Arabidopsis thaliana: one gene and its partners. The protein of the gene in region 1 interacts with the protein of each later gene in a biochemical or structural test. Each region holds a gene or a part of one and is shown on either strand. Other genes may lie near its edges.

The links.
Region 2: the proteins of LKP2 (region 1) and TOC1 form a complex in vitro, tested with the Arabidopsis thaliana proteins (one study listed by BioGRID).
Region 3: the proteins of LKP2 (region 1) and CDF3 form a complex in vitro, tested with the Arabidopsis thaliana proteins (one study listed by BioGRID).

Annotation. Positions count from the first base shown.
Region 1 is NC_003071.7:8,195,484-8,199,240, forward strand, and holds the start of LKP2 (LOV KELCH protein 2), read right to left. Parts: upstream 2,001-3,757; 5' UTR 1,773-2,000; coding exon 1,528-1,772; intron 900-1,527; coding exon 1-899. Other genes in the region: AT2G18920 (uncharacterized protein), read right to left, coding at 2,270-2,677.
Region 2 is NC_003076.8:24,672,949-24,676,705, forward strand, and holds the start of TOC1 (CCT motif -containing response regulator protein), read left to right. Parts: upstream 1-2,014; 5' UTR 2,015-2,591; coding exon 2,592-2,724; intron 2,725-3,041; coding exon 3,042-3,203; intron 3,204-3,339; coding exon 3,340-3,473; intron 3,474-3,623; coding exon 3,624-3,757. Other genes in the region: AT5G61370 (Pentatricopeptide repeat (PPR) superfamily protein), read right to left, coding at 1-523. UniProt on the Arabidopsis thaliana protein: Controls photoperiodic flowering response. Component of the circadian clock. Expression of several members of the ARR-like family is controlled by circadian rhythm.
Region 3 is NC_003074.8:17,504,053-17,507,809, reverse strand, and holds the start of CDF3 (cycling DOF factor 3), read left to right. Parts: upstream 1-1,685; 5' UTR 1,686-1,845; coding exon 1,846-1,986; intron 1,987-2,328; coding exon 2,329-3,534; 3' UTR 3,535-3,757. UniProt on the Arabidopsis thaliana protein: Transcription factor that binds specifically to a 5'-AA[AG]G-3' consensus core sequence. Regulates a photoperiodic flowering response. Transcriptional repressor of 'CONSTANS' expression.

The DNA of each region.
Region 1 (3,757 bases):
CTGCATCAAGGTCTAATAAGAACACATCATTGAGTAATCCGTGGCTCCCGTAACCTCCAAACACTACTAAACGGGAACCGTTGACACAAGAAAGTGTGTGACCCCAGCGACCCGGAGGAGGAGAGCTGACCAGAACAGATTTCCACTCGGGACTACTCGAGCCAAGGTCCAACACAAATGTATCATTCATCGGCTGCATATTCACACCTTCCCCGCCAAAGATAACAATCCTGTTCCCAACTGCACATGCGCTGAAATTACACCGAGAAGGCTCAACAGTACCTCCAACTGAAAACTTCCTCCATGCTGTTGCTTCGTGAGTGGTGAACTCTCGGGCCAGTCGCACCCAACCAATCCTTTTTGCACCGGGAACACTCTCAAGAACACGTGTTGCCTCGGTACCCCATGTGTTTTGACAGACCATTCTCCACACATCATCATTCTTTGTCAACTCATTGAGCCGCCTACATACACAACCAACCGATGCAATATCACCAGGAGTCAACTGTGACAATATCTTGATAGCTATTACTTCATCACTCAGTTCGAATATCCCACAGAGTCCACGAGAAACATTACGCTCTCCGATTGGTAAAGCAGAAGTAAATGAGCGAGATATTCTAGGAATTTCTTTTGCAGATAAATCAGGAGATGGGCCAAGATCAATTTTTGCATCTGTAAATAAGAGAACGCCTATGAAATGAGTGATTTCGTCTTCTTCACGGATAGGGACTAGACGCAGCTTGTTCATCAAGGGAGATCCATCTTTCCGAAAGTTGAGCAACTCGCCTTGAAACTCGATGCCATTTTCTAGACATTGTCGCATCTTCGCTACAATTGTAGAATCTACCATTGGATGCCTTCTTTTAGTAAATGGCCCTCTACATTGCAAGAAACGGCTGCCAAATAAAAAACAACAGCACAAATCAGATACAAGACCCTCCTATTCAATTCATCGAATAGATAACTAACAACTAAACAGATACAGTACTTTGGCGAACAATTCCTCACACACAAGTATTGAACAAAGACTAAACTATATGCATAATTAACATGGAATACCAGATCAAAAGCCGCTAAAACCCAAGAGAAACATATTCAACAGAAACATATATACTTAGACAAAAACGCATTACAATTCAATATTACAAAAATCAATAATCCCAAGGCTTTCATAAACCAATCAAGACATGTGAAAAACTATCAAAGTTCGAGTTCCTAAACACTAATCCACAGACATAGGAAACATTACAAACTGAACCTCACATTATAGCTTAGTTCCTCCACAACAAACTTCTAATTCAATAACCAACCCATGATTCCAAAATGGTTCTAGCTAATAATACCTAACATAATCAACAAGAACCATAATAATGAATCGAAATATAAATTTCTTTCTGTCAAAACAGCTTTCAACAAAGCTTTCTAGTAACATCGTACCAATACCACAAATGAGACAAAATTCGCTACAGTAAAACAAAATCAACACCACAAATTTAGGGTAAAAGTCAAGAAGAGCAAACTCACCAATTTCGACCAATAACTTCTTCAGCTCGATAACCAGTAACAATCTCAAAAACAGTGTTAACATAAATGATAGGGTTGTCAGGTTCAAGAGCATCGCTGACCACAAACCCACACGGCGCCGTGCCAGGAAGACTACCTACCGGAAACGGAATCGCTCCGTTATCTCCACCGAACCATCCATCCTCCGCCACTTCATCTCCACCGCTGAGATCGGAATCACTATCCCACTCCATTTGATTTTGCATACACACCCACAAAATAAAGCTTAAGCCCACTAATCTTCTTCCTCAGCAACAGGAGAAGAGACCCAGAAGAACAAAGTTTGATTTTGAATCGAGGAATCTGATATCTGTAGGTAATCGAAGTCTCCACAGGAAAAAAGTTCCAAACTTTAGACAAACCCAGAAATCGTCTTCTTCAGGAACAGGAGATAGAAGAACAGATTTTGAAATGGAATCGAGCGAAGAAAAGAGGAATCTGATATTTGTAGGTAATGGAAGTCTCCACCGCCCACTTCTAAGAGGAGGAGAAGAAGAAGAAGAGAGATGATTCGGTCGGTCGATGACTCGGCTCTTCTCAGTGCCTCTCCTTTTCCATCTTTAACCAGACCGGTTTCTTAATTTTACCTTACCGGTTTAGTTTATCTATCCGGTTTACACAAAATATCCTGTAAGTTTCTTATGAGATTTTTTTGGTTTTACCAAATGAGTGTATTAGAATCAGTTTTATTGATTTAAAAACATTAGAAACTTGAATTTATCATGAAACCATTGCATCCAAAACCCAATTCTTGCTCATCGAAACGTTCTCCGTCTTTGCTGAATCCAGTAATAGCTTCAAGCCAATCAATATTTTCCTCTTCTTCTAGAGCAACAAAAGCCGATGCATAGTTGGCTTGAGCAAGACATCGTACTGCAGCCCGCCAGAATGGTGTACGCTTCGGGACATCAAGACGTCTAAGAGCGTTAATAACATCTTGATACAAAAGTACAACACCCCGTCTTTCACGATACTCCGTAATAAAGTTTCCACTATTTTCGATCACGCTTTCAATGATAGACCTTCTTCGAGGTTGCCTTGCACGTCTAGAAGAAGTTTGTACACTGTTACGTGTTTGTGTTACGCCTTGGTTTTGGGTGGTGTCTGCCATATAATCTTGTGTGTTTAGAGGGTAGACATCATCTTCAACTATCCTAAAAGACGCTTTATGCAAATGGAAGAAGGCTTTTACTAAAGGTCAAACCACATTTTTCTGCGGTTTTGTCTTTGCTCTGCAAGTAAAGTTTTTATGTGAAACAAAAACTAATTATGTTGATGTTGATTATTTGTATAATGTTAATTGTTTTTTATTTTTTCGTGTAGGTATTTGCATTAGAGCGATTTACTATCTTTCAACAACTATTTCCATCCAGTTTTCCTTTAATGGTTGAGTGGGCAAAGATATATAAACCGTATACCAAAAATTGTGCCAACAGAAGTGGGGGACACTATCAAGAGATGCTTGTAGACATGAAGGAAGATGAGGTACCTAACAAAATTTCATCTCTTTGTCATATGCATTTGTTCTATATTAAATACTTAGATTATATTTTTTCAGATTAAGTGGCAGCCATATAGCAAAGTTATATTGCCCAAGGAATACACCTCTCAATTGAGTATGGTATTTGCACATGTTCCATGCATCTGCTTTAACACCATCGCATACAACCGAACTATTTGGGAGAGCCACTAAATAGTTTTCCGATTAGGAATGACGAGACCTTGGAGATGGGAGAGCCACCAAACAAGTGGAATGAAAGCAATAGATGGGTTGACCATTCACATGTCACTGAGGTGGTCGAGACTTTGCCGGAGAAAACCAGTAAATCGGCTGATGCAAATGTGAATTGTCTTTTTTTTTTTTTTCTAATACAAATGAATTTGGTTCTCACTTTACTTGATTTAACAGCTGGAGTCCTTGGATGAAAATCACAAGGAAGCGAATGAAGAGGAGGGAGCGAATGAAACGATGGGAGTGAATGAACAAGAGGGAGCGAATGAAACAGTTAGTCATTCTCAATAATACAAATGAATTTGGTTTTGTAACATATACTCTAGGATATTAGAAAACTAAATATTAATAACTGGCAGGAAAGAAGTGATCTTCGACTTCTTAAAAGAGGAAGAGACGAACTACTTAGAAGTGAAGGAAAATTAAAACCAACCGATAGATGTACTCCATCTTTTTCGC
Region 2 (3,757 bases), on another chromosome or scaffold:
TGAAACCATCTTGTGGGCAAGAAAATTTGTCCAAGATCTTGAAGATACCTATTGCATCTTCTTCCTTACCAACCTTAACCAGAGTTTCAGCGACAATGCTAAACGTTTGCTTGTCCATCGCCCGATTCTCCTTCCTGAGATCTGATAAGAGTATCTGCATAGCTGTGTGATCCTTCTTCTCAGCCAAAACTCTTAGGACATAGTTGAATTCCTTGTCGTGTAAACTAGATCCCAAGCTTTTACACGACCAGGAGAAAAACCTCAACAGCCTTCTCGGTGAAGTCTCGTTCTTGCAAGACTCAATCACTTGGGTAACAAGGTTTGATGATGGAGAAACAGAAACCTGGTTCAAGTTTTCTTCAAGGTCATCTAGACCACCAACTGGAGAAGAAACTATCCGAATAACTTCATGCAACGCCGTTTCCGATCGGTCAACTAAATGGTGAGAGCAAAAGTAACGTGTCAGTTTTGCAGTACTCGTTAGATACGTAAACCTGTTTAATCTGACTGTGGTGGACATCATCTTCTCTGAGGAATTTCATCAAACACTTGATATGCGTATGCTTCTTAAAAGCCGCCAAATATAAACCATAGAAGGGACTCTCTCCTGACTTACATGTTTCTCAGAGTATTTACAACTTCGTTGTAAATTCTTTCAGCAACATGAAATTCAGATTTCTATTAAAAGACCTAAATTTGCAGATTTCATGAGATCGCTCGGCTCAACAACAATATATATTCATTTGTTGGAAACATTGCCCGCGTGTCTGAAAAGGGCATTTTAGTCTTTTACATTCCATCACGCTTCAAATTCAGAACCGGATAAAACCGATAATCGTGAGATACGATGGTTATAACTTATAAGTCACTAACCGGAATGATTACTCTCGAAGGCCGCCGATGCATATTGGAAAATCGAACTCCCGATAAAATAGTTCTGAAATTACACGAATAATTAACATCATAAAGTCATAAACAAGTTATTGGTCAATGGTCGATGGCAAAACGTAATAAAAGTTGGACCGGGACAAAACGTGTCTTACGGTGGATGAAGTTGAGAATATATCATGCATTATTGGTCCACTTGTACTAACGATATTCGCAGCTACTAATATGAGCCAATCGGTAATACGAAATATTTTAGCTTGTCGACTACTTACTTTCTATATAAAAGTTTAGCCTACTAATTATCTCTTTTTATGATTATGACAACTTGATTATTTGTTTCCCAACCACTGATGATGAGATTAACCATCTTTTTTGCTAAGAAGGTAAATATTTCATCTTGCTAATGTCCTGTTTACAAGACAATTTGCACACATACACTTATAACATTAGAAAAAAACACTTGAAACTTTGTTACAACATATCATTTAGCTTGATTTTTCAATCACTTTAAGAAGTTAATGAATCATAATGCCTAAATAAGTCCTCTATAACAACCATGAAAGGAGTGTTATATCTATAACCCTGTGCTTTTAGAAAGAATCATAATTTTTAGGAGTCTTTTGTGATGAGAAATTGAGATGTAATAAAAGTAAAATTTTCTATATCTGTATCTTTCGTTTTTTATTTTTATTTTGTTTGTATCTTTAATTCTTCAGTACCTAAAGATAACAGAAAAATAAAATTCTGATAATAGATTTTCTTGTTGTTATAAATATATTTTAATAAACGAAACGAAGCCGAATCCTAAAATTTGGTTTCTGATGGTTTGGTCTGATCTGGTCATATATTTTAAAAGAATTTGCAATTTTTTCTTTCTGTCGACCTTTTGATATGTTTGTTGATTTTGATATGGAGATGCATCTTCTTATCTTGTATCTTACCACAATAATATCAAAAACAAAAATAAATATCATGAGATATTTTCTCCAAGATGACGTGGCCTTTTCTCTATCTCAACCAAACTATCCAACACAACCTTTTTTTTTATGGCCTGCACTTTTTATTGTCCACGTCATCTCCTTGGCCTAAAATATCCCAAGTCCCACCATTAAGCTACACAACAACGCGTAAGAAAAAGACTTAATCTCCACCGTCCAATTCTATCCTCTTTCAACGGTCTCTGATTTACCATCTCTCTCTCTCTTTTTCGCGTCTCATAATTTGACCATTGATTGACAAAACAAAACAATGAGTCTTCTTTCTCTTCTCACTCTTCTTGTCGGAAATTCACCTTCTCTCTCTCTCCTCCTCATCTCACCGCCGGCGTTACGCCGGATCTCCGGTGACTTTTGTTGAGCTTTTTTGTTGATTCATGATTCGATATAGAGAAAAAAGAATTTCCTATTTCAGCTCTTTGTTCTTAGATTTATCTTTTTGTTTGTTCTTATGGATAAAGGATTAGGTTGGGGGATTAAAAGAGTAGTTTTTGTTTGGTTGTGAGATTACTTGACTTTGTTAAGGGGATAAATTAGGCGACTTTGTAGGGACACTGTACCGAAAAACCCTAGTTCTGATTTGGCCATGGAAGTATCATAGCACTTACTATTGTCGGCTTTACTTCTTCTACTTTTGTATAATCCTTTTTTTTCTTAGGTTCTGTGATTAGATATTTTTTTTGTGTGGGTTTAGTTGTTAATCTGATCATGGATTTGAACGGTGAGTGTAAAGGAGGAGATGGGTTTATTGATAGAAGCAGAGTCAGGATTTTGCTTTGTGACAATGATTCCACGAGTTTGGGAGAGGTTTTTACTCTCCTTTCAGAGTGTTCTTATCAAGGTATGATTTATAGGTTTGTCCTTGTCTTGTTCCCAAAGTTTCTCTTTTTACTTTGTTATTTTTTGCTAAGTTGGGATTACTACTTTAGATTGCAGATCTCTTATAGGTTCTTGTCGTCTGGCTTTTTGAGTCAGTATGGTCAGATGTGATCAAGATGACATTTTTAACCTTTGTTGATTTTAGTACCTTATTGATAGTTTTTGAATGCATCTCTAGTGTGTATTGCTTTCTATTTTTACACTATGCTCAACTGTTTGTTGTTCAAGACTCAATGATGATATATTGGATGAATTGTTTTTATTCTTTTTGGAATGCAGTGACTGCAGTGAAATCAGCAAGGCAGGTGATTGATGCACTTAATGCAGAGGGACCTGATATCGATATAATACTGGCGGAAATTGATCTCCCAATGGCTAAGGGTATGAAGATGCTGAGGTACATCACACGAGACAAAGATCTTCGCAGAATCCCTGTGATAAGTAAGCTGTGTTCTTTGTTGCTCTTCTCGTTTTATTATCTATTCGTGAAGTTGTATCTTCTCTGCTTATCAAAGTGCTTTTGACAGCATGATCATTAGCTTTATACTGACTAATCTTATAATATTCTCAATTTAAGTGATGTCGAGGCAAGACGAAGTCCCTGTCGTTGTAAAGTGCTTGAAGCTAGGTGCAGCTGACTACCTTGTGAAGCCTCTTCGCACCAACGAGCTTCTGAACTTGTGGACACACATGTGGAGAAGAAGACGCATGGTTTGTTTTGCTTGTCTCAAGTTCTCTCTATTTATCTTACTGTTTTTGAGCAATACTTGATAGCCATATCTCTCAATCTGTCGTCTTCTGAAATAAAAGACCTTGATGCATGAAGTTAATGCTATTGATTTCATATATTTGTTTTGGCAGCTAGGACTTGCTGAGAAGAATATGTTGAGCTATGATTTTGATCTTGTGGGATCTGATCAAAGTGATCCAAACACAAATAGTACCAACCTGTTCTCTGACGACACAGATGATAGAAGTCTTAGGTCCACCAACCC
Region 3 (3,757 bases), on another chromosome or scaffold:
ACAGACTTTGATATAGATCCTCCAAAAATCCTCATGTTGGTATTTGTACAATGTGGCAGAGACCTAAAAACCTTTTTGTTCACAGCCAATTATCTATTGACATGACATTAAAATCCAACCTCCTTTGCTTTTTTTTTTTTTTGCTCTTATTCTGATCTTAAATCTCTTTATCTTTTTTTTTTCTTTACGTCCATAAATTCTTTAGAACAAAACCATAAAACACAAGTTTAATGGTAAGAATAAAGGAACAAAATCACCAAATGAAAGCAAAAAAGAAAATCAAACGAAATAGATATCAGACTATTAAGAAAGAGAGACCATGGCATTATTACTATATCAATATGAAAGAGTTTTAGTTACTATTGGGCCAAACCAAAAAAATGTTTGAACACTAAAATAAGAGACAACAAACTAAGAAAATAGTCAAAGAGATTATTCTCTTCTTACTAAAGAAGGATGAAAACATCATCTAGTTCACAGCAATATCTGGAATGGAGGGTTGCCTAAACCTCCACTCCATTGAATGTGCATAAACTACTTTCAGATATGCAGTTTTGTAGTCATCCAAGAGATCAAGTTTTTTGAAGACATAGTATTGGCCAAGTTTTATAATCTACACAACAGCTATTACGAACTCACCCTTATCACCATACTCAACAACTTTTTCGGATCGACTAGTATCATTACTAAATTTGATTTGGGGTTGCTTTATCCAGTTAGAAAAAACTGATATCCAATTCCAACGAGGTCTAATATCTATTCTATAGAAAATCAAACTGTCCTATGGTATAGCAAAATGTTTAGTTGTATAGAATCTAATCTAAAGAAATAAATTATACAAAACGGTAATGTTATAAATTAGGAAAACATCTACATAGTCAAATCCTAATTATTACATAGATTGTGTTTTTTTTTTTCATATCGATTGTGATGTTATTTTGCATAAAAGTTATATGACAATAAAAACTTTTAGTATGAAATTTTTTACCTAAAAATTGGTAGACGAATGACCGAGAGATTGCCAAAGATTATAGTTAACATTTAAAATGAATACAAATACCATGTAATGATGTAAAAAAAAGTATTAAGTAATTTTGAAGTGTCATGATGCTTACAGTGAAATTTGTTTTACAATCAGTGCCAAATTTTACAACTATAAGTAAAGTTGAACGAAAATCCTAGAATCTATCAAATTTGAGCACTATTATTATAGTTTGCACTCGATGATTTACAAAATTCTTTGAATCCATGGTACATCCAACAATTATCCTCTATTACAGTTTTTAATGAAGAGAAAAATATGTAGAGATGATTTATAAAGCAAAAAAAATCAGTACATTAATAACCAATATAATATGTTGCTTCATTTTTAAACGCCAATTATAAAAAACAAATAAACAAATTTTCACAATAAAAATTAACTTCTTTTCTGATAGGAAACTAAAAAAAACTGATACTTTTAAGTTTATGATTAATATTATATATATATATATATATATAGTTTTGAATGATCGAATAAATATGTGCGACAGAAAATAAAGGAACAAAAAAAAAGGATTAGATGCGAATAATACACATAAAAAGGTAGGAAATATTAATGATTAATTAATAAAACCCGACAACCCGACCCGGTATTAATGAGCGAAAAGGAAAATATCAGAGGCCACATAAACTTGTGGCTGAGAATTGAATTGTGATGCTGACGTGTTTCCTCCTTCTCTTTTAAACTGATCTTCTAAATCCCTAAATTTCACCAATTCACACTCTCCCAAATCTCTCTTCTTTAACAACAAAAAAAAAAATCACAGAGACATAGAGAGAAGAAGAAACAGAGGCTCCAAAAAAATGATGATGGAGACTAGAGATCCAGCTATTAAGCTTTTCGGTATGAAAATCCCTTTTCCGTCGGTTTTTGAATCGGCAGTTACGGTGGAGGATGACGAAGAAGATGACTGGAGCGGCGGAGATGACAAATCACCAGAGAAGGTACTGATTGATAAAAAGTAATTTTGGCCTGAAAATTGGAATTGTCCTAAAAATAAATATGATTAGATTAGTTTTGTACTAGTAATTAACTTAACTAGTTACTTCTTCAGTCTCTGTTTTGTCTGTTTTGGATCTACAATTTGTGTTATTGAGTTACATGAACGAAATTATAACATAGTTCCAGTCTTGTGTTACCATTAAGATATTACTAGTTCATTTAGTTGTTAGAGATTATTGGTTCTGAACTTCTGATGAAGAATAATTGTTTGATTAAGATTTCATAAAGAGAAACTTCTTTTATTCATTGCAAGTGTTCTTAATTTAGTGTTTCTTGTATCTCAGGTAACTCCAGAGTTATCAGATAAGAACAACAACAACTGTAACGACAACAGTTTTAACAATTCGAAACCCGAAACCTTGGACAAAGAGGAAGCGACATCAACTGATCAGATAGAGAGTAGTGACACGCCTGAGGATAATCAGCAGACGACACCTGATGGTAAAACCCTAAAGAAACCGACTAAGATTCTACCGTGTCCGAGATGCAAAAGCATGGAGACCAAGTTCTGTTATTACAACAACTACAACATAAACCAGCCTCGTCATTTCTGCAAGGCTTGTCAGAGATATTGGACTGCTGGAGGGACTATGAGGAATGTTCCTGTGGGGGCAGGACGTCGTAAGAACAAAAGCTCATCTTCTCATTACCGTCACATCACTATTTCCGAGGCTCTTGAGGCTGCGAGGCTTGACCCGGGCTTACAGGCAAACACAAGGGTCTTGAGTTTTGGTCTCGAAGCTCAGCAGCAGCACGTTGCTGCTCCCATGACACCTGTGATGAAGCTACAAGAAGATCAAAAGGTCTCAAACGGTGCTAGGAACAGGTTTCACGGGTTAGCGGATCAACGGCTTGTAGCTCGGGTAGAGAATGGAGATGATTGCTCAAGCGGATCCTCTGTGACCACCTCTAACAATCACTCAGTGGATGAATCAAGAGCACAAAGCGGCAGTGTTGTTGAAGCACAAATGAACAACAACAACAACAATAACATGAATGGTTATGCTTGCATCCCAGGTGTTCCATGGCCTTACACGTGGAATCCAGCGATGCCTCCACCAGGTTTTTACCCGCCTCCAGGGTATCCAATGCCGTTTTACCCTTACTGGACCATCCCAATGCTACCACCGCATCAATCCTCATCGCCTATAAGCCAAAAGTGTTCAAATACAAACTCTCCGACTCTCGGAAAGCATCCGAGAGATGAAGGATCATCGAAAAAGGACAACGAGACAGAGCGAAAACAGAAGGCCGGGTGCGTTCTGGTCCCGAAAACGTTGAGAATAGATGATCCTAACGAAGCAGCAAAGAGCTCGATATGGACAACATTGGGAATCAAGAACGAGGCGATGTGCAAAGCCGGTGGTATGTTCAAAGGGTTTGATCATAAGACAAAGATGTATAACAACGACAAAGCTGAGAACTCCCCTGTTCTTTCTGCTAACCCTGCTGCTCTATCAAGATCACACAATTTCCATGAACAGATTTAGAGTTACATATGTATATGTATATATGTATGATTGATTGTATGTATAGATGATACTGGAGAATGATGAGTTTTTGAGAATCAAACTCTTTTCTTCTTTCTAGTGATTGCCTTTATTCCTTTACATGTTTTGGTTCTCTGTACACTATTTGATTTACCTTTTTTACTTTCTTTCTTCATTTGTCAGGAAATGTTGGAAGATAACATTAATGGTAAAAAGTTGGTGT